Sus scrofa: one gene and its partners. The protein of the gene in region 1 binds, or shares a complex with, the protein of each later gene. Links are inferred from orthologs where the notes say so. Each region holds a gene or a part of one and is shown in the gene's direction. Other genes may lie near its edges. The genes, in order: VAMP2, SNAP25 and CPLX1.

What was found.
Region 2: the proteins of VAMP2 (region 1) and SNAP25 are in contact, whole or in part, in a crystal structure (PDB 1SFC), measured with the Rattus norvegicus proteins. The link is inferred for Sus scrofa from reciprocal best matches to the Homo sapiens genes VAMP2 and SNAP25. Residues at the interface, in NP_036795.1 of Rattus norvegicus: Asn25, Thr27, Ser28, Asn29, Arg30, Arg31, Leu32, Thr35, Gln38, Val39, Glu41, Val42, Ile45, Met46, Asn49, Lys52, Val53, Glu55, Arg56, Lys59, Leu60, Glu62, Leu63, Arg66, Ala69, Leu70, Gly73, Ala74, Gln76, Phe77; in NP_112253.1 of Rattus norvegicus: Gly131, Gly132, Phe133, Ile134, Arg135, Arg136, Asn139, Leu150, Glu151, Ser154, Ile157, Gly158, Leu160, Arg161, Ala164, Leu165, Met167, Gly168, Ile171, Asp172, Gln174, Asn175, Ile178, Asp179, Ile181, Met182, Ala185, Asp186, Asn188, Lys189.
Region 3: the proteins of VAMP2 (region 1) and CPLX1 are in contact, whole or in part, in a crystal structure (PDB 1KIL), measured with the Rattus norvegicus proteins. The link is inferred for Sus scrofa from reciprocal best matches to the Homo sapiens genes VAMP2 and CPLX1. Residues at the interface, in NP_036795.1 of Rattus norvegicus: Arg47, Val50, Asp51, Leu54, Asp57, Gln58, Ser61, Asp64, Asp65, Asp68, Ala69, Gln76; in NP_074055.1 of Rattus norvegicus: Leu41, Arg48, Tyr52, Glu56, Arg59, Glu60, Met62, Arg63, Ile66, Arg67, Tyr70, Gly71, Ile72.

Annotation. Positions count from the first base shown.
Region 1 is NC_010454.4:53,378,579-53,385,163, reverse strand, and holds the start of VAMP2 (vesicle-associated membrane protein 2), read left to right. Parts: upstream 1-2,920; 5' UTR 2,921-3,061; coding exon 3,062-3,063; intron 3,064-3,571; coding exon 3,572-3,692; intron 3,693-4,150; coding exon 4,151-4,309; intron 4,310-4,389; coding exon 4,390-4,441; intron 4,442-5,052; coding exon 5,053-5,069; 3' UTR 5,070-6,585. UniProt on the Homo sapiens protein: Involved in the targeting and/or fusion of transport vesicles to their target membrane. Major SNARE protein of synaptic vesicles which mediates fusion of synaptic vesicles to release neurotransmitters.
Region 2 is NC_010459.5:19,213,048-19,219,532, forward strand, and holds part of SNAP25 (synaptosomal-associated protein 25), read left to right. Parts: intron 1-1,913; coding exon 1,914-2,039; intron 2,040-6,376; coding exon 6,377-6,485.
Region 3 is NC_010450.4:228,138-234,722, reverse strand, and holds the start of CPLX1 (complexin-1), read left to right. Parts: upstream 1-3,001; 5' UTR 3,002-3,122; intron 3,123-3,449; exon of another isoform or gene 3,450-3,606; intron 3,607-4,905; 5' UTR 4,906-4,980; coding exon 4,981-5,011; intron 5,012-6,585. UniProt on the Homo sapiens protein: Positively regulates a late step in exocytosis of various cytoplasmic vesicles, such as synaptic vesicles and other secretory vesicles.

The DNA of each region.
Region 1 (6,585 bases):
TCCCAGGGCTTGGCAGGCAGCCCCCAAGCCTTCCAGATTGGAGGGCAGAGCCAGAGGTCACGGGGTAGGGTAGATGACTACAAGGGTGGCGGGGTCAGCCCCTCGGGCCGCATTCCAGGCAGCATTCCCAGGGGGCCACTTCTCCTCATTAGAAGGCCTTTTCTTTACCTTGCTGTGTTGAGGGACACACAAGGTCTCTGAAATTAATTATTAGTTGGGTCAGTTTTGACCCATGTGGATGGAGCAGCTTCATGAGTCACCGTGGCAATGACCCAGCCCCCTTCCACCCCAACCTACAGTCAGTTGTTAGAAGAGGAAAAAACAATAAAGGAAAACTATTAAACTTCATGAAAGGTTTCCTCCATGTCATCTACAGCAGAATTCCTGGAGGTCCTCATTAGAAGTGAACTTGGACTTCCTCCCACATCTTTGGAAGGAGCCTTGACAGTGGCGCCCAGAGAACTGGCTGCCAACCCTTGACGAGGGCTTGAATCGGAGCTGCAGCTGCCGGCCGACACTGCAGCCATAGCAACATGGGATCCGAGCCACGTCTGGGCTCCACGTGGCGGCTCACGGCAATGCCAGATCCTTAACCCACCAAATGAAGCCAGGAATCAACCCAAGTCCTCATGGATGCTAGTCGGATTCGTTTCTGCTGCACCACGTCGGGAACTCTGCAGATGCATTCTCTTTCTTTAGTTCCGTTTACCTCTGTTTTGGGTCTCCACTCTATCTGCCTGCAGAAAACATTCTCTTAGTCATTTCCAGGTGAACTGGGTCTCCCCATCCCTCCTCTTCTCCTGCCTCCAGCACTCATCAAAATTTGGGGAGTTCCTTAGCACACCAGCAAAGGTGGGGTGGGTGGAGAGGGCTGCTCAATGAGAGTCCTGTCTTCAAGATAAATCCTCCTGAGACTCCGCCTCCATGGATCATACACAGCCTCACCCAGGGTGGGCACTGAACCCATGCCACAGCAGCGACCCAAGGATCCTTAACCCACTGTGCCACAAGAGAACTCCATGCTCCCATCTCGATTCTGCTGCTGCCGCCCCCAGACTCTGAGGGCAACAGCAATGTGCCAGCTTTCCAAGCCACACCCCATGGCCTTAGCTCCTCCAATTTATCCCAGGTTCTGTCCCTTGCACGTCCCCTGGACTTGACCATCCAGGAATGGGGATCACTCCTAACCCCCTGTCTAACATCTTGTTTGGTCCTCCACTGGTTGCCCCCTGCCAGCTTAGGGTGTTGGGACAGGGTGGCGGTGGGAAGTCCAGCCTCTTTGTATCTCCTTCCAACCTTAATCTGTCTTAGACACAGACACCACAGCTTTTGAACTTAAAAGCCTGGAATCTGGCATTTTTGTTCTCTAGCTAGAAAGCAGAGTAGTCTCAGGGCCAAAAAGCAAGAGCTAGCCCCCTGCAGCGTCATCTAGGACCCTCAGGGAAGCTGTTCTTTTCTTCCTTTTCACATTGACTGAGCCACCCAGACACTGTGTGTGTGTGTGTGTGTGTGTGTGTGTGTGTGTGAGTGCATGGGACCAGGGCAGTGGCAGCGCCCAGGAGGGGGAGAAGCTGAGAGCATCGCATCTTAGATCTGCTGAGTCCCCGCACCCCGCACACACTCCCTGTTCACTCACCTCCCCCACACAGCTGGGAAATGACACCTCTGGTGACAGAGCCTGGCCCAGGCTTCTGCTGGGAGGGGGTGGGGTGCTGCATGGGGGAGGTTGTCACACCCGGAGGCCCTGGGAGGCCTGGGTGGGGGAGGGAGGAAGCCAGCTCCTGTTTGTCTCAGAGACCAAGGCCACCAGCCCCCTCTGCCCACTTCCAGGGTTGCAGTGAGCACCCTCGCTCCAGGGCCACTAGCCACCCCCCCCCCAAGGTACCACCTTCTTTACTCTTTAGGCTGATCTGACCTACCCCACAGGACAGGCAGCTCACCTGTTCTCAGCCTGTCCTCTCTGAGGGGACCAGTCCTGCTGAGAATGAGCAGAGGGGGTGTGTGAACTGCTGGGTCTGTTTGGAGGATCTAAACAGAGACAAGTCAGGGATGGAAGGGGCCGGGGATAATCTCCTACCATGTCCCGGATCAAGCCATTTAACAAATACCCCTGTAGTGTCTAGTATGTAATCTATTTGGGGTCCAGAGACAGGCAAAGGGCTATCCAAGGTCACTCCCAGGAGGCAGGGACTGCCTTTGCCTCCTTACTGTCCTGCCCCCCCAGGGAAAAAACAAAACGTAAAAGCTAAAGTTCTGTCCTTTCGCCTGGGGTCAGAGGCTGAGCCCTCCCGCTGCAGGGTAGCTGATCCAACTCTGGGTCAGAGCCAGGTTTGGGCCAGTCTGCAGGCGCACCTGAAGCAGCGCCACGGGGCAGCCTCTTGCCTTCCTCCTAGGCCCCTAAGCTTGCCTCTTGTCGGTCAGGCCCAGGCTGCCAAGGACCCCTGGTCTGAACCCCAGCTGTGAGGAGAGAGTTCCTTGTCCCAGACCTCCTTTGAGATCTCCACCTGCGGGCAAGCTTTGGGGACCAGCTGCCACCACTCCACCTCAGCCGCGGGGTCTCGCCTGTCTGCATCGCCCCGGAACCTGCACGTGACCCTTCTGATTTCCCATCTCCCGCCCGTATCTGAAATGCCGAAGACCGGTCAACAGGCGTTGGGACCGTGGGGGCGGGCTGAGACCTGGGTCGGGGTGGGGTGCGGACGGGTCTCACGGAGGAGGTGTTTGGGGCCGAGGGGTGCCATCAGGGCCGGGCCATGGGTGTGGGTAGGCCGCGGCCCCCAGGCTCGGGCCGTGGAGGGAGAGGCCGGGGGCCCCGCCTCGCGGGCCCCGCCGCGGGCGGGCTGCGCTCCCCGCGCCCCGCCCCCACGCCCCGCCCCCGCGGCCCGGCTGCCGCCGAGTGGCCCGCGGCGCCCCGCCCCCGCCCGCAGTGCCCGGATGTGGGTGACGTGCGGCCGCCATCTTCCCGTCCCGGGCAGCCAGCGCCAGTCGGAGCCAGCGCGAGCCGCCGCCGCCGCCACCGCCACCCCTGCTGCTGCCAAGTCCTCCGCCCGCTGCCCCCGCCATGTGAGTCGGCCGCCTGCGCCCGCCCCGGCTGCCCGCGCCGGCCGCCGCCCCTGCGTCCGAGCCTGGGAAGGGCTCGGGGTCCAGCCCGCGCCCCCCGCGCGCCCGGAGGCCAGGCCGGCGCCCGTGACGGCGCGCGGGCAGCCGGAGAGCCCCGGGTCCCCGGCCGGCCGCGCGGGCGCTGGCGCCGGAGGGAGCAGACGCAGGGTCCGCCCGCCCCGCCCCTGTCATCGCTGCCGCCTTTCATTGCGGGTCCCCCCGACCGTGGCTGTGAGGTCGCCCTCATTTGACAGGCGGGGAAACTGAGGCCCGGAGGGGGGAGGGGGCCTCCCTCAAGGTCACGCGGCCGCTTGCCCGCGGGGCCGGGCGAAGGCCATGGCTCCCTTCGGGTGGCTCTCCTCCCGAGAAGGAGGAAGGGGGGCACGGATGGATGGACAGACGGATGGGCGGAGCCCTCGCTGCGGGGCCGAGGGCTCCAGGGCCTGGATCTTAATCCGTCGGTGCCCCTCAGGTCGGCAACCGCTGCGACCGCACCCCCCGCCGCCCCAGCTGGGGAGGGAGGCCCCCCCGCGCCCCCTCCAAACCTCACCAGTAACAGGAGACTGCAGCAGACCCAGGCCCAGGTGGATGAGGTGAGTTGTGGGGGGGGCAGAGGCAGTGGGAACGACCCTGAGGATGGCAAAGCGGTCTGGGGGTCCATCGTGGGTTGAGGGTGATGGCAGTTCACGTTTTCGCGTTCGGAGACAAAAACATACCAAGCCGCGTTCCTGACGTCGTGTAATTGGGAGGGCCGTGGGGTGTTAGCCTTGCTGGCCTGCGCCGTTTCACCCTGGGCGGGTGTGCTCTCGTGACCCGCAGGCTGCTTGAGGCTCGGTAAATAGAGGGTGCTGCTGTGATATGAGATGTCTGGCCACCAGCATGCCTCTGACGTGTGCTCCTTGCATGTCCCCAGGTGTGCTGGGCATGCTCCGCATATGTTGTTGCATGTCAGCCAGACAGCCCTAGGGTGCATGTCTCGTACGTGGGCTCCTGGCTGAGGAGAGCCCTTTGAGATGGGTCTCCCCCCCCCATCCCCGCGCCCTTCCCGCAGGTGGTGGACATTATGAGGGTGAACGTGGACAAGGTCCTGGAGCGGGACCAGAAGCTGTCGGAACTGGACGACCGCGCCGACGCACTCCAGGCGGGGGCCTCCCAGTTTGAAACAAGTGCAGCCAAGCTCAAGCGCAAATATTGGTGGAAAAACCTCAAGGTAAGGGTGGAGGCCGGAGGAGTGGTGGGTGGCCGGGAGTGTCCCCGCCTGTCTCCCTGACCGGCCCTTCTCGCCCCCAGATGATGATCATCTTGGGAGTGATTTGCGCCATCATCCTCATCATCATCATTGGTGAGTCGGGCGGGAGTGGCCGGGCCCCTTTGTTGGAGAGGTTTCCCCCCTGACGTCTGGGTTTTGAAGGTCATTAACCTCGTTTTTACTATTCAGCAAAGAGCACACAGAGCTGCCAATAGCAGTTCTGATTCATCTAGCACCCCAAACCTCAATGTTGTTGAGCTTGTACTTTGCCTGGTTCTGGGCAATTTCTGGTAAGATTTTTGGAAACCGGAAAGCCGGTGGAGATCTCCACTGCTCCCTTGAGGACCCTTTGGGTTTGTCCAGTATGGGAACCCTGGAATTGGGGTGTGGGGGAGCAGCGAAGACTCAGGGGCTTGAGAAATGGCTAGGAAGCCAACCACCCTATTGGTTGAGAGCTGTGGTCTCAGAGGCTCCGAGGATTCGGGGTCTGTGGCCCCAAAGCCATACCGTGACGTTGAGGAGACCTTGAAGCTGACCTGTGCAGCTTCCTTGCTTTACAGATGGAGGATCTGAGACCAGGAGGGGAAGGGACGGTCAGCCAGCTGGGAGGTGGGGAAGGTGGGAGCAGGGCCGGGCCTGACACGCTGCTTTCTCTCTTTCTCTTTCTTTCTCCCCTCTTCTTCCTTCTCTTTCCCTCTCTGCAGTTTACTTCAGCTCTTAAACCCCTGAGGAGCCTGCCCTGCCCAGAGAAGGGCCTCTCCCCCCCATCCCCAGCCGCTCCTCCACCTCTCAGCCATATCTTCCAGCCCCCTCCTCCCCCGGGATCCGCGTGTGTGTGTCGTGTGTGTGCCCCCTTGTAAATAGCCAGCTGTTATTTATACATATATAATATTATATATATTTGGTCTGTTTGTAGTTTTATTACTAGAAGATTTTTCCGGTTGTCCTTAACACCCCTTCCTGAGGTTCCCATCGCCTCCTTTTGCCCCTCCTCTCCTCTCCTTTCCCTCTCTTCCTCACCGGCCCCAACTCCCTTCATTTGCATCTGCTATGCAATAGTCCCTCTTCCTCCCCTCCTTCCCTTGGATTTAGCTGATCCTTCCTCCCGCCCTGGTCTTCCCCATACACCCCCTCACCCCACCCCACCCCCCGACAAAAAAAAAAAAAAGAAAAGCAGCTGTCCAGGACTCCCTAGGTGCATCTTCTTTGCATCATTGGGAGGCTCTGAGACTGGTCCCTTTTGGTCCTAAGAATCCCAAGGTCTTCTGGGAGCTTCCAGCATGTTAATTAGCATCATTTGCATACTGACATCCCTTTTGGTTTCCTTTTTTTCTCCATCAGGCTTCTGTTCATTCTTTCAACTTGTGTTTCTTTTTTACTGAGGAGTTAGTCCCTATTGGTCTGGTCCTTGTATCACACTTTTCATTTGCATGACATTACTTGCAGGTGGTAGGGAGCCTGGGCATTGGGGGTGTCAGGCTGTTCTGGCCCCCAGAATTGCCCTCTCCGAGCCCCTCCAGTCCAGTTTGCCTCCCCTTCCCCGATTTTCCAAACCTCTTGTCCCTCCTTCCCCTCCCCCCAGCTGGTGTGTACGTGTCTTGGAGTTCAGTGTGTTATGATGGACCAATAATTCTGCCACTTGGAGTCTCTCCCCACATTCCTGCTCCCCAGTTTTCAAGTGGGGTGCTCAATTGACATTCCCATGGGGTCTCCCTCCCTCCCATCTGCCTGACCCGCCTCCTCCTCCTCCCAGCAGGAGAGTTGGGGGTTGGCCACAATCTGATTTTTCTTGGGAGAGGTGGCTACCTGTGTGTGTGGGGTCATCACTGCCTTGGGGAGGAGTGGGGCAGGGCAAAGAATCCTCCCAATTCCTGCCTGAAATCTCTGGCCCCACCCCTGCTGGGGGTTTGACTGAAAGCCCTCCTCACCCATTTGGGGGGTGTTGCCCTATCAGCTCCTCTGATTGCCCCCCTGAATTCGGGGCAGGGGTTTTAGTCACTGCCAATGTGTGTGTGGGACTTGCCGGAAGGTGGTGATTCTTTCCCCTCTCCAGGGTGGTGGAGCCCAGAGAGAGCTGTCTCCTCCTTAGGTGAAATGATAAGGAAGGATGTAACGTCTTTTTTAATGGCACAATTTTGGGGGTCTGAGGGTGCAGTCCCTTAACCTGCCACTGGAAGGGACCGCCTAAACTCTTCCCCCCACACTCAAAGGTTTCTGTGTGGAGGGGGAGCAGGGAG
Region 2 (6,485 bases), on another chromosome or scaffold:
ATTCCACATACTAGTTGGCACTAATTCCTTATTGCACAAGAGACCCTAACTGAGCTTCAAAGCTTGACTGAAATGTTCCCTATTGTGTGTAAATAATGCTTTAAAAACCATGTGTCACAACGCAGTGGCTGGTGGTGCCCTGGACTCTCTGAGGGCTTCGCCCTGTCTCTGCATGTTTCGAAGGACTATGGTAGATGTCCAGCACTTATGTGAGTCTATGTGCAGCATTGTGGGTGCAGTGATTCGCCTTCGTTCAGAAACGCAAACCTCCCCAACCCCCTTGACTCTGCCAAAGATGGTATACCAGACATTTTACATAGCAGAAAGCATCACAAGGTCCAGGTAACTTCTTCTAATATGAGGAGGGAGGGGATGGGGATTTGGAGGAAGGGGGAACCAGACTTTAAACTCTATTAAATTCGTTTTTGGATTTTGTCCCACTAAGTGGGCTCCTGGCTCTTAGCAGCGAATTTGGACTGCTGCAGGGGTTGTGGCATTCATGATACATCAGATTATGGGAGTCGCTGAAATTTCATTTGGACAGTTTTCCAATTTGTCTCCAGGGTTGCTTGGTCCCCAGTCTGCAAATATTAGTGGTAGAGCCAGTTTTAATAGATGGCTATGGTCCTCCAGTAAAAGAAAAAAGAAAGAAAGAAGCTAAATTCTGGTGCCTTATCATAGAAAATGTGAAAATGGGACCAAAGAAAGTTCTGTTCTTGGACTAAAAAGCGTGTGGTTTCTACTATGCAAAGAACCTAAAAACATCTTTGATGGCACAATTACAACACACCCACCAAAATATGCTGCACATGTTTCTATTGGGCACAACAGGTATGCCTGGATTTTAAGTCTCTCTCCAAGGCAGCTCAGTGAAATATGGCCCACGGAGACCACACCCTTTCCAGACTACTCTTCCCCTACCTGACCCCAGCATAGTTTAAGTAGGAGTTTGTAACCACTCCCAGCCTGCCCCGCTGCCCAACAAAGAAGCTATTGAACCTGCGTTTCAAATCTTCATGAAGGCTATTACTGTCCTGCTAGTGCCTTTTTGAGAATGATCAACTTCTGGAGTAGTTTGGCTTAAATGAGAATGCTTCACTTTCTACTCATGCCTGTAGCTGGTGCATGAAGAAGATGTAGAGGGATTTCCCTTTTTTTGGTGCTAGATGGCTTGTTCTCTCTTCTATTTTCCTGCATTCATTTCACTACGCCTCTTTTACTTTTTGTCTCTGTGGACAAAGGTTTGTACATCGACTCTGGATGTATGGTGACTGTTTGGAAGTACCGATATATTATCTAATTCAAATCACTCTAGAGGCAACTCAAAGACCATCACCCTTGGCCAACCACCAGTCCTTTATGTGCTCCATGCAGAGTGGGAATGCTTGGTTCCACAAATGCCTTGAGGGAAAAAAAATTAAAACAGGGAATCTTTGCATGATGGTGTGTAAAAACTTGGTCCAGTATGTTTTTTTTGATGCCAGTGCGTTGCTGTGGTGTGATGTACACACTCTACTTGGCAGTCTTGTTTTGTGTCTGTCTGCCAGTATGTTTCTTCTGTGTGTTTTGTGTCTCAAAATAGAACCTTGTCATTGAAATAGAACTGAATGTCCTCCAGCTACCTTAAATCTTGTCTTAAATCCAACAAAAACAAACCAAAACAAAGAACAACCTATGGGCAAAGTTTGCCATCTTGACAATTGCAGTTGACTTGATTGGAAATGAAAATCCTGAGTAGCTGAGGCATGGTGGTGGCCAACTGTTTGGGTCCGGATTATGATATATCGGTATTCTCTGATGCCTCAAATTAAAACTCATTTGCTTGGTTCGATTCTTAGCTTGAAGAGGGAACCATTGTTGTGAGCTTGATGCTCCACCCCCTTTGCTGGTCACTCACCCTCTTTTTTGCATAGGCTTAAATCAAGTGATGCTTACAAAAAAGCCTGGGGCAATAATCAGGATGGAGTTGTGGCCAGCCAGCCTGCTCGTGTGGTGGACGAACGGGAGCAGATGGCCATCAGTGGTGGCTTCATCCGCAGGTGAGCCTAGTGCAGCCAGCATTATAACAATTACCTGATTTTTCAAAATTTTAATGGAGTATAGTTGACTTGTGGTGTTATGTTACCTTCAGTTATACAGTAAAGTGAATCAGTTCTACGTATACATATATCCATTCTTTTTCAGGTTCTTTTCCCATATAGGTAATTACAGAGTATTGGGTACATTCCCTTGTGCTATACAGTAGGTCTTTGTTACTTACCAATTTTATAAATAATAGTGTGTACATGCCACTCCCAACCTCCCAGTTCATCCCTCCCCATAGCATTTCCCTTTTGGTAACCATAAGTTTGGTTTTGAAATCTTTGGGTCTGTTTCTGTTTTATGAATACGTTCTTTTGTACTGTTTTTATTAGATACCATGTATTAATGATCTCATGTGATATTTCTCTTTCTTTGTCTCACTTGCTTCACTTAGTATGATCATCTCTAGGTCCATCCATGGGGATGCAAATGGCATTCTTTCATTCTTTTTTTTGGCTGAGTAATATTCCATTGTACATATGTACTACATCTTCTTTATCTAATTCTTTGTTGATGGACACTTAGGTTGCTTCCATGTCTTGGCTATTATAAATAGTACTGCCATGAACATTGGAGTGCATGTATATTTTTGAAATATGGTATTCTCCAAATATATGTCCAGGAGTGAGATTGCTGGATCACATGGTAGTTCTATATTTATTTTTTATTTATTTATTTTTATTTTTATTTTTTTGCTTTTTGGGACCACACATGCAGCATATGGAAGTTCCCAGACTAGTGGTCTGGTTGGAGCTACAGCTTCCCACCTACACCACAGCCACAGCAATGCAAGATTGGAGCTGTGTCTGTGGCCTACACCACAACTCATGTCAGATCCTTAACCCACTGAGTGAGGCTAAGGATTGAACCCAAGTCCTTATTGGGTTTGTTACTGCTGAGCCACAGCAGGAACTCTAGTAATTCTATATTTACTTTAAGGATCCTCCATACTGTTATCCATAATGGTGGTACCAACTTATATGCCCACCAACAGGGTAGGAGTGTTCCCTTTTCTCCACACCCTCTTCAGCATTTATTGTTTGTAGACTTTTTGATGATGGCCATTCTGACTGGTATGAGGTCAGTTATCTACTTTTTAGGGACAAACCACCTCAAACTGAGTGGTTCTTAAAACAATCATTTTATTACTTTTTTTTTTTTTTGCTTTTTAGGGCCCCACCTGTGGCATACGGAGGTTCCCAGCCGAGGGGTTGAACTGGAGGTGTAGCCGCCTGCCTACACGACAGGCACAGAAACGTCAGATCTGAACCACATCTTCGACCTATACCACAGCTCATGGCAACGCTGGATCCCCAACCCAGTGATCGAGGCCAGGGATTGAACCCACTACCTCATGGTTTCTAGTCAGATTCACTTCTGCTGAGCCATGGCGGGAACTCTCACTTTTATTACTTCCGAATTTTTTTTTTTTTGCCACACCCAAGGCATGTGGAAGTTCCCGAGCCAGAGACTGAAGTTGAGCCACAGCAGTAACTCAAGCTGCTGCAGTTACAACACCAGATCCTTAACCCACTGTGCCGCAGAGAACTCTCTGAATCTTTTCGTTGGCTGAGCAGTTCTTCCGAGAGCCTCTCCTGGGCTCACTCATTATATATAACTGGGTGTAGGATGATCCAAGATGGCCTTATTGTTTATCTGGTGGTCGGCTGGGGCTGTCACTGAGGGCCTCTCTTTTCCTCTCCGTGGCCTCTCCAACAGTAAAGCCCAGGTTTCTTGCATGGTGGGGGCAACAACCTCAGCAGTAGACTCTGATGCACAGGATTTATCAAACCTTTGCCCACGTTTCGTGAGACAAACCAAGTCACATGACCACATCCAACACCAGCGCAGTAGTAAGGAGGTGTCTCATTTCATGAGTTCAGTTGGACAGAAGTTACTAAAGAGATTGTTTACAGAGGTGTGGGCAGTGTCAATAACAAGGAACGGTGAAGCACTTAGGAACTAGCAATAGCCAGGAAGGGTCCTAACTGGCCAGGAGCAATCTATCACCAGAAGCCAAGAGGAATTACATCTGTGGGCAGGGGCTATATGTTGAGATTCAGCAACTGTAGACCCAGCAGGAAACAAGAAAGGGAAATAAGTGCCCCAACCCCTCAGCCTCTTGCCCTCCGGTCCCTCAATGGCCATTGGCCAGAGGCCACAGAAAGTCAAAATAAGAGAACCTGGGTGATAGGGTTGTAGAGAGGTCAGCCTCTGAGCCAGAGAACAGATCAAGGGGTACACACAGAGAATAATGAGGAGACCTGACTTCTTAAGCAGGTCCTATGAGATCTGGAAACAAAAGCTAATTTAACCTCTATTTAAAAATCTCAAATCACACATCTGCTGATTTAAAACTCAGCTCCCAAGAGATCAGAAAATAATAATAATAACAAATAGTCCTGTTGCCAAAAAAAAAAAAGGGAAAAGTTATTCTTTTTTGCAGGTTACTACCCTAGGACTCAGCAGTAACTAGGGTAGCTGTTTGATCAACCATCTATATACCCAGATTCAAAAGATGAGTCACTGCTCTTTATGTATAAATGTCCAGATGTCTACCCAGAACTTCACAGATGACAATTCTATTCATGTTTCTGTCTGCTCCCAGGGAAACTAGACCAGGGGTCCTCAAACCTAACTGCATATTAGAATAACTGTGCAATTTTTTAAAAGTATCAGTGCCTGGGCTTAATCCAAACCCAGTGAATCAGAATCTCTAGAAATGAGACATGGATATCAGTAGTTTTAAAGCTGCTCAGGTAATTCTGAAATGCAAAGAGGGCTGAGGACCATGGAATTAGAAGTATGTCTCAGCTGCTGATGATCATTTAAATAAGCTTCTTTTTTTCTACATAAGAGATCTAGAAAGTTCCCTTTTAATTTTATCTGGATTTAAATGGTTTTAAAACCTTAGAGAAACAATCTGCATTGGGATTTACCATGGGGGAAGGATGTTAACCCTTCCAAACATATTTTAGCCCATCAGCATCTGTGGTAGAAAAATGTTTTTTGGTAGGGTTTTTTGTTGTTGTTGTTGTTTTTGCTTTTTAGGGCCGCACCCATGGCATATGGAGGTTCCCAGGCTAGGGGGCCAATTGGAGCTACAGCTGCTGACCTATGGCACAGGCACAGCAATGCAGAATCCAAGCCATGTCTATGACCTACACCACAGCTCACGGCAACACCAGATCCTTAACCTACTGAGCAAGGAACCCGAAAACTCGTGGTTCCTAGCCGGATTTTTTCCACTTCGACACGATGGGAACTCCTAAAAAGAGTTACTTCTTAACTTTCAAGCTGGACTATGAAAAAAATGAGAGCCAAGTCCTTCCTCCCCACTTAAACTGAAACAGTAATTTTCTGTCCCAGTCTTCTTCTTTGAGATCATCCATTCACAGTGCCACCAAAAATCCCATAGCATTGAAATCTGAGCAAATAAAACCACCTTGACAAAAAGCTCCCTTTGGAGTTCTTGGGAGCAAAAAGGATTAAGGGGCAGACTATAATTCACATTCCTCTTCCCTTTGATATTGGTCCCAAATGGAGAAGGAGATGGGTGGAGAAATTCTGTGACTTAGTTCAATAGCTTTCTCTTTCATTCTAAATTTGACCCTTGTAGATTTTGATTGACATCTCAGAAAGAAAAATACAGTTTCTAACTAGTTCCATCTTCATTCTCTGACCCAGAATCCTCCCAGCTAAAATGATTTTACCCTTAAAAAAAAAAAAATGAAAATTGGGATAAACATATGAAGGGAGGAAATGATGATGTGTTGGTGGAAGTTAGAAAAGTAGGTAAATTAATCTATTTAATATGCCTTCTTTAAAAGTAGAAATTTAGGAGTTTCCTTTGTGGCTCAGTGGTTAACGAACCCGACTAGGATCCATGAGGACGCAGGTTCAATCCCTGGCCTCACTCAATGAGTTAAGGATCCAGCGTTGCCATGGTCTGTGGTGTAGGTCGAAGATGTGGCTCAGATCCTGCGTTGCTGTGGCTGTGTGTAGGCCAGCAGCTGCAGCTCTGATTCGACCCCTGGCCTGGGAACCTCCATAGGCTGTGGGTGCAGCCCTAAGAAGCAAAAAAAATAAAAATAAAAAATAAAAGTAGAAATTTATCAATATGCAATTTTTAAAAGTACCTTGTAATGTACAAAAGCTAAAATGTGTTCCTGTGTTGAACGGAGATTCAGAAAGTATAGGGTTGATACCTAGAGGTCTATAGATTTACCCTCATCTTTGACTCCTTGGTATTTGAGTTTCTTTTATCTTCTAAAAACTGCTCTTTGATACCCAGGGTAACAAATGATGCCCGAGAAAATGAAATGGATGAAAACCTGGAGCAGGTGAGCGGCATCATTGGAAACCTCCGTCACATGGCCCTGGATATGGGCAATGAGATCGAT
Region 3 (6,585 bases), on another chromosome or scaffold:
CAGCTCCCGGCGCTGACCCACCTGGCTGGGGAGAGGGCCCTGGGGCCTCCATGCAGAGCCACTCCGGCCCAGCTCGCCGACAACTGTGATGATGTCTCATCTCACTACGCGTGTATTTTCACGTGTTGTTACCCTTCAAGGAGTGATGAAATCCAGCAGGAGCATGGCAGTGGGCACGCGCCGGTCCTGGGACCGCATCATTCTGTTCCCGGTGTTAGAGTATTAAGCTTGCATGTGAAGTTTCTGGTGAGTGCAGTGTGTGCGCGCCAGAGCTTGTCCTGTGCTTCCTGCGGGGCCTGCGGCCCTCTTGCCAGGGCTGAAGGACAACCTGGAGGAACCCTGAGTGTCCTGGGGCACAGGAGCGGCTTCGGGAGACAGCAGGCACCAGGCCTCCCTGGAGGAAGTGGAGGGCCATCAGATGGGGGCTTGCCGCGGGGCTGGGGGAGGGGGCGGCTGGAGCAAGGCGGCAGCCTCCCCTCTCTGCCATCTGGAGTGACCCCATGGAGGCTACCGGGGGGGCCTCCGGGGGGGGTGGTCTCAGACCATGCGGCCTTGGCTTTAGCAAAACCCCGCCTTGGGTCAGGGGTTCCTGGCTGTCAGGGCCACTTTCTGGATTTTTCGCATACGCAGGGCACTGAGCTAGGGGCTCTGTCCCTGTCCTGCCAGCTGGCCCGGGCCCCGGAGTTTGGCTCTGGCCAAACACACGCGCCCCAAAACTGACTGCTTGGTTGGAACCCCTCCCCATCTCTCCAGCTCCGTGCACCCTCCTCCTGCCTGGCCTGGCCTCTGGCCACCCCCCGACGGCCCACAGGTGTGCCCCCACCACCATCCTGGGTCTCCAGCCCCGTGGATCCTGATGGGTGCCCTTGGCTGTTACAGATGTTTTCTGCTCAGCTCCTGCCTCGGGAGGACCCGTCCAGGACCCAGGCCCTCTTTGGGGCACTCACAGGGCCATGAGTGCCTCCTGGGATGTGGCCCTGAGGCTGGGTCGCCTCCGGAGCCCATGTGGCCATTGGGCCCATCCGTCCTCACCTTCTGCCCAGAGCCCCTGCCCCCACCCCCCGCCCCTAGTCCTGACTCCACAACTGCCTGGCCTCCCTGGCCTGGGACTGTGGCCAACCTTGTCTATTTCACATGGGAGCCCCCCACCTCCCCACCCCCCGCCCCAGCCCGGGGCCTGGATGTCTGAGGAGGGCAGCTGTGTGTGCAGTGGGTCTAAGAGGAGTAGCAACAGACCAAGACAGACAGAGATGGAGGGAGACAGAGGAAGAGCCAGAGAGACAGAAGGACAGAGACAGAGGAACAGACAGATACATGGATAGAGAGGGAAGGAGAGATACACAGAGACGGAGACAGAGCTGGCGACTTCAAACCTGACCTCTGAATGGTGACCCCAGAGGGAGGGAGAGGGAGGGAAGGAGAGACAGGGCTAGAAGGTCAGGCAGCAGGACCAGCAGAAGGGCCTCTGGCTTCTGGGCCCCAGGGGTGTGTGGAGTTCAGCCAGGCCTGGGCCACGGGATCGGCGGGGGGGGGGGGGGGGGTGGAACCTGTGCTCACGGACACCTGCACTCCCCTCTCCTGCCCATACGAAGCCCCACACCCAGCCTGGCAGCCCCAAGGTCAGTGGCGTGTCTCCCTGCCTTGAACGGGCCACTGGGGTCATTGGTCATGGGGCTGCCCTGGACTCAGCTGGGGTCACCTCAGGGGCCTCTGCGGGGTTACCATCAGGAGGTCAGCTGTGGGTCAGTCCTCAGGTCCACCTAGTGGCGGGGGGCCTCTAGTGGGGAAAGTGACGTGCCCCTTTCCTGGACCCACACTCTCCCTCTGGCATCCACACCCAAGTTCTCAGGACACCAAAGGCCCAGGCTGGGCAGAGCCTGTGGGCTCAGGCTGGACCCTCAAGACCCTCAGACACATGCAAACAGGCGGCCGCTCCCATCCGTCCTCAGACCTGCAGAAGCCCTGGGGCTTTGGCCCACCTCCCCCGAAGGGTGGGGATAGAGGTGCAATGGAGGCACTCCTCACACCCCTGGGTCAGCCAGGGTGTGTCCCAGGGCCCCAGCTTCTGAGCTGCCCCACCCACCCTCCTGGCACTTCCTCACCCCGATCTAGGTGACAGGAGCCATCAGCAGGAGGAATGGATAGAGTGCTGGGGAGGCTGCAGATGCAGAGTGCAGCGTGCCGCTGCCCCCCCGCACAAAGCAGTGCTGGCCTGTGCCGCCCTGCCTGCACCTGCTGGGCACAGCGGGCGGGGGTGGGAGCTGGGAGCCCAGGTGCCAAGCAGACGCGGGGCGGGGGGAGAGCACCCCCCCGGGAGCCCCCCCCCCCCCGCAGGCACGTCCTCCAGCGTTCAGGCTGTGAGTCCTGGGGAGGGGCCTGAGCAGGGGTCTCCTGGGGTTGGGGGTCTCCAGGAGCTGCCCCTGCCCCCACAGGCCCAGGAGCCCTGATGACTCAGCTGGGAGGGATGGGGAAAGCGCAGGGCCACCAGGGGTGTCCACCTGCTGACCAGGAGGCCAGCAGAGACCCCAGACCCCTGCCGAACCGTGGGCCCCTCCCACAACAGTCTTCCTACCCCGAGAGCAGCGGCGGGACCGGAGGCCCAGCCGCCGACCTTGCAGCGACCCCGCTCTCCCCGCAGCGCAGCTTCCGCCGCAGAGGAAATCCCGGAGGCCCGGGGAGGGGGCGGCCCCGCGGGGGCGGGGCTGCGGGGACAGCGAGCGCCACAGCCAGTCCGCAGTGACCTTGGCGCGTCCCCGCCTCGCTTGGGGCCCTGGGCGGAGGGGCGGAGGGGGCGGAGGAGGCGGGGGTCTCTCGGACCCTGTCCCACTGAAATGAAACGGCGGGGCTCTTTCGTTGCGACTCTGTTACACAGAAAAATAGGTCCGGGCCGGTGTGCAGACTGCTCCTCGCTAACGGTTGTGTGGGTTTTCAGGGCCTGGGGGCTCCCTTCTCCTGCCCAGCGGTGCCGGAGGCCCTAGAGCGGCGCGGGTCCGGGACCCCGACAGCGACCGCCGTCGCCGCCGTCGCCAGGGAACTCCTTCGCGAGCGCGCGGGGGCAGAAAGGGAGACCGCGGGAAACGGCGCCCCCGACCCGCGGCCGGACTGGAAAGGACTTTTCCCAGGGGAGTCGCGCGCGTACCCGTCCGCCCGCTGGGTGCCCCTCACGGGCGGAGGCGTTGGGTGTGCGGGGCCCTGTCCGCGGGGGGAGGGCAGCCCCCGGGACCCACGCGCAAGGGGATCGGATGGCGCGGGCTGGGGGTCGTATCCGGGATTCCGAACTAATGGGTGGGCCGGGGTCGTGCGCGCCGGCTCGGAGAGACAGCGCCCCAAGACCCGCGAATCCGGCCAGGGAGCCGGGTTTGGGAGCGGGGGTGGGGGGCGGCTCCGCCCCCCGCCCCGCGGGCGCCCGCCCCGCGCCGCTGCCCCGCCCTCCTCGTCACGCTCGGACGCGGGCGGGGGGCGGGGAGCGCCTCCATGTGACGCGCCCTCCTCGCGGTGCCCTTCAGCTGCCGCCGCAGTTCCCGGCGCGCCACATGGAACCGGCCGGCCCGAGCGCGCTCTGCCGCTGACCGCCCGCCAGCCCGCCCGCGCTGCGGCCCCGGGAAGGTAACCGGCGTCCCCGCGCGCAGCCCCCTCCCCGGCCCTGCGGCCCCCTCCGCGGCCCAGGCTGGGCGCGCACTGAGCCCCTGGCGGGCGCTGTCCGCAGACGCGGTGCTGAAGCGGCTCCAGGGTCCCGGCCCTCCTTCCTGCTCCTTGGCCCGCATCTCCTGCCGCTCGAATCTCCCCTTCCCCTCGCTCGTCCTCTCTCTCTCTCTCTCTCTCTCTCTCTCTCTCTCTCTCTCTTTTCCCTATGTTCTGGCGCGCTCCCGCCTGAGGGCTGCTTGGCTGAGCTGGGCAGCTCGATCTCCTGCAAAGCCAAGGGGTACGGCGGCCGCGGGAGCTCCGAACCGCGCGGGGCGGCGGTGGGAGGGCTGCGGAAGCTCCAGCGGCACCTGGTCTCTCTGTGTCTGGGCCTGAGGCTTCCTCTTCCCCCCCTAGTCCTCCACCCCACCCCGCCACCAGAAGCCAGGGGAGAAGTTTGGAAGAGAATCTGTGTTGCGGCAAGGGCGCCCCTGCGCGCGAGCGCTTTGCGAACAGGCAGGGGCACTCCCGCCCCCTGCCCCCTCCGCAGCCCGCACACTCGCGGATCTCCTTCGTCTGAAGGGGAAAAAAACGCAAATAGCGCATCTCCAGGGACCTGGGTTTCCCTGCCAGGAGCGACCTCACAAGGGGGGAGGGGACACACCGCAGCTGCAGGTTTTATAGGAAGCACCTCCCACCAGACCTCCAGCTGGCCTGGACCCTGGAGAGCCCCATCCACGCAAGTGCATGTGGAGGGATGGACTGCCCCCCCCCCATTTTATTTGTTTCCTGAAGGCTGGGCCCCCTGCAGTTTCTCCTTTCCACCTCAGTCTCTGCTGTGGGCTGGTGGCCTTGGGTGCCGGCCTCTCCCCTGGATGGTACCTGGTCTCCGAAGACTCTTTCCTTGGGAACCAAAGGGAGCGCCCACTCAGGTCTCAACCTTTAGATGGACCCAGGGTTCCACCAAGGAGGCAGCAGAGCCAGTCACCTCCAAACGCCCCTGGGCCTGCCCCACTTGGCGCAGGCTGGTTCCTCTGAGCTGCACCCCCCTCCCTGCATTCGCAGCCAGAAGCTGGCATCAGAAACCCCAAGGCCAGGGGAGACTATTTTGCAGGGGCCTCGGGTGCCCGTCCCAGTGCTGTGGTCTGGCCTTGAGGTGTGGGGGAACCATGAATGATGCTCTCTCAGACCCCAGACCCATGCCCAGGGAAGCCGGGCAGGTGCGAGGAAGAAGTCCTCCCCCGCCCTGTCGGAGGATGACTTGTGCCCACGTCCTCTCCCCAGGCAGAGGACTTCTGGCCACACTCGAATGTGAGCTACGGCCCTCCAAGGAGCCACTGAGGACTCAAAGCCATCGCCATGGAGTTCGTGATGAAACAGGCCCTGGGAGGTAGGAGGGGCCGCTGCATCCCCAGCAGCAGGCGGACACGCGGGGTTGAGCACAAATGTCACATGACACCCAAAGCACACTGCAGGCCCCTCCGGACAGAGTGGGGGAGGCAGGGACCAAAGGCAGCCCCTCCCGAAGCACCTTGGCCAGCTTTGGGGCGGGGGGTATGCACACCTAGTACCAGGATGTGCAGAGCTGAAGCACCTCCACCCCGCCTTGGGAGGACACCCCACGGTAGGTTGAGGGGAACGGGGGCCAGTCTGGCCAGAGCCGGTGGCCCCCACAAGGACATTGCTTCTGGTGAGCAGAGCTGCAAGAGGCTGCAGGGTGGCTACGGCCACTGGAGTGCGGGTAAGGAGCAGAGATGGGCTGGTGGCATCCAGCAAGGGCTTCATGGTGTCACCGGGGTGGGGCCAGCAGTGTGTACAGGGAGCCGGGGCTGGCTGAGCTCAGGGACAAGAGAAGAGGCCCCGGGTAACTCGTGTGCCCTCCCCCATGGAGCAGTGCAGCCTCTTGTGTGTGCTGGGGGAAGGGAGCCCTTCCGGCCCTGCCGACTGCTTTTGAAAGGAATCCTGTACCTGCTTGGCTGGAGGCCATCTCCACGGCCAGAGACCCTGGCCTGGTGGGGAGGTGGTAAACGCAGTGGGCCGGGACCCAGGCCCAGGAGGTGGGCAGGGCAGCGGGCCGAGGTCCACACTGGTACAGATGCAACCCAGGCCTGACTCTGCGGTTAGAGATGTCTTCTTTGGGTGATGGCACCAGCCTTGGACCTCACGTGGTCTCTGTGGGCCACGCCCTGACCCAGTGCCTTTCACAGCCTGGCATGAGCCAGGTGAAGCATGACAAGGCCACTCCTTGGCAGGAGGGACTGAGCGCTCCTCACCAGAGACGGGGTGCCGTGGGCGCTGTCACGCTAGGCGCAAGGGGCAGGGTCGAGGGCCAGTGGCACAGAGCCCAGACAGGGGCCCCGCGTGTGGCTTCTCTTGGAAAGTGGCGGCATTTCCACTCAACATGAATTAACCGAAGAGACTGAGCCTGGCCCAGGGCCACCCTTCCTGAGATTTTGTGGTCAAGGATAGGCTGCAGGTTGAGTCTAATTATAATGATGACGTCACTGGGACGTGATTCAGGGACGGGCCGCATCCTGGCAGCAGGAGGGATCCGAGTTCCACCCAGCCAGTCCCAGGCTGTTACAGATAATTAATTAGGTGGCTAATTCAGGCCTGAGGTGGGCTTGTAGGAAAACTGAAATATCTGATTTGGCTGTCTACATGGCTGGAATTAGCAGGGTAATTGCCAGCCTGGATTCCCTTTGTTCTGTGTCAGCCCAAAGTTTCTCCTTCGATGGCGATGGGGAGGGCTTCACCAGCCACTTGGGAGCCTGGGCGTGGAGGGGTGCAGCCAGCCAGGCACCTCCAGGCAGCCCCTCCCTGGTGCCCCGGGCCCAGCGTGCCCCCTGCCCGCACCCCGTCCTCACCCCAGTGCTGCTGGGGGCGGGGGCTGCTCCGCGTGAGACTGAGTTTTCTCTCCCCCAGCGGGCGTCATTTTGGTGTCTCGGGATGAGTGTGGGTGAG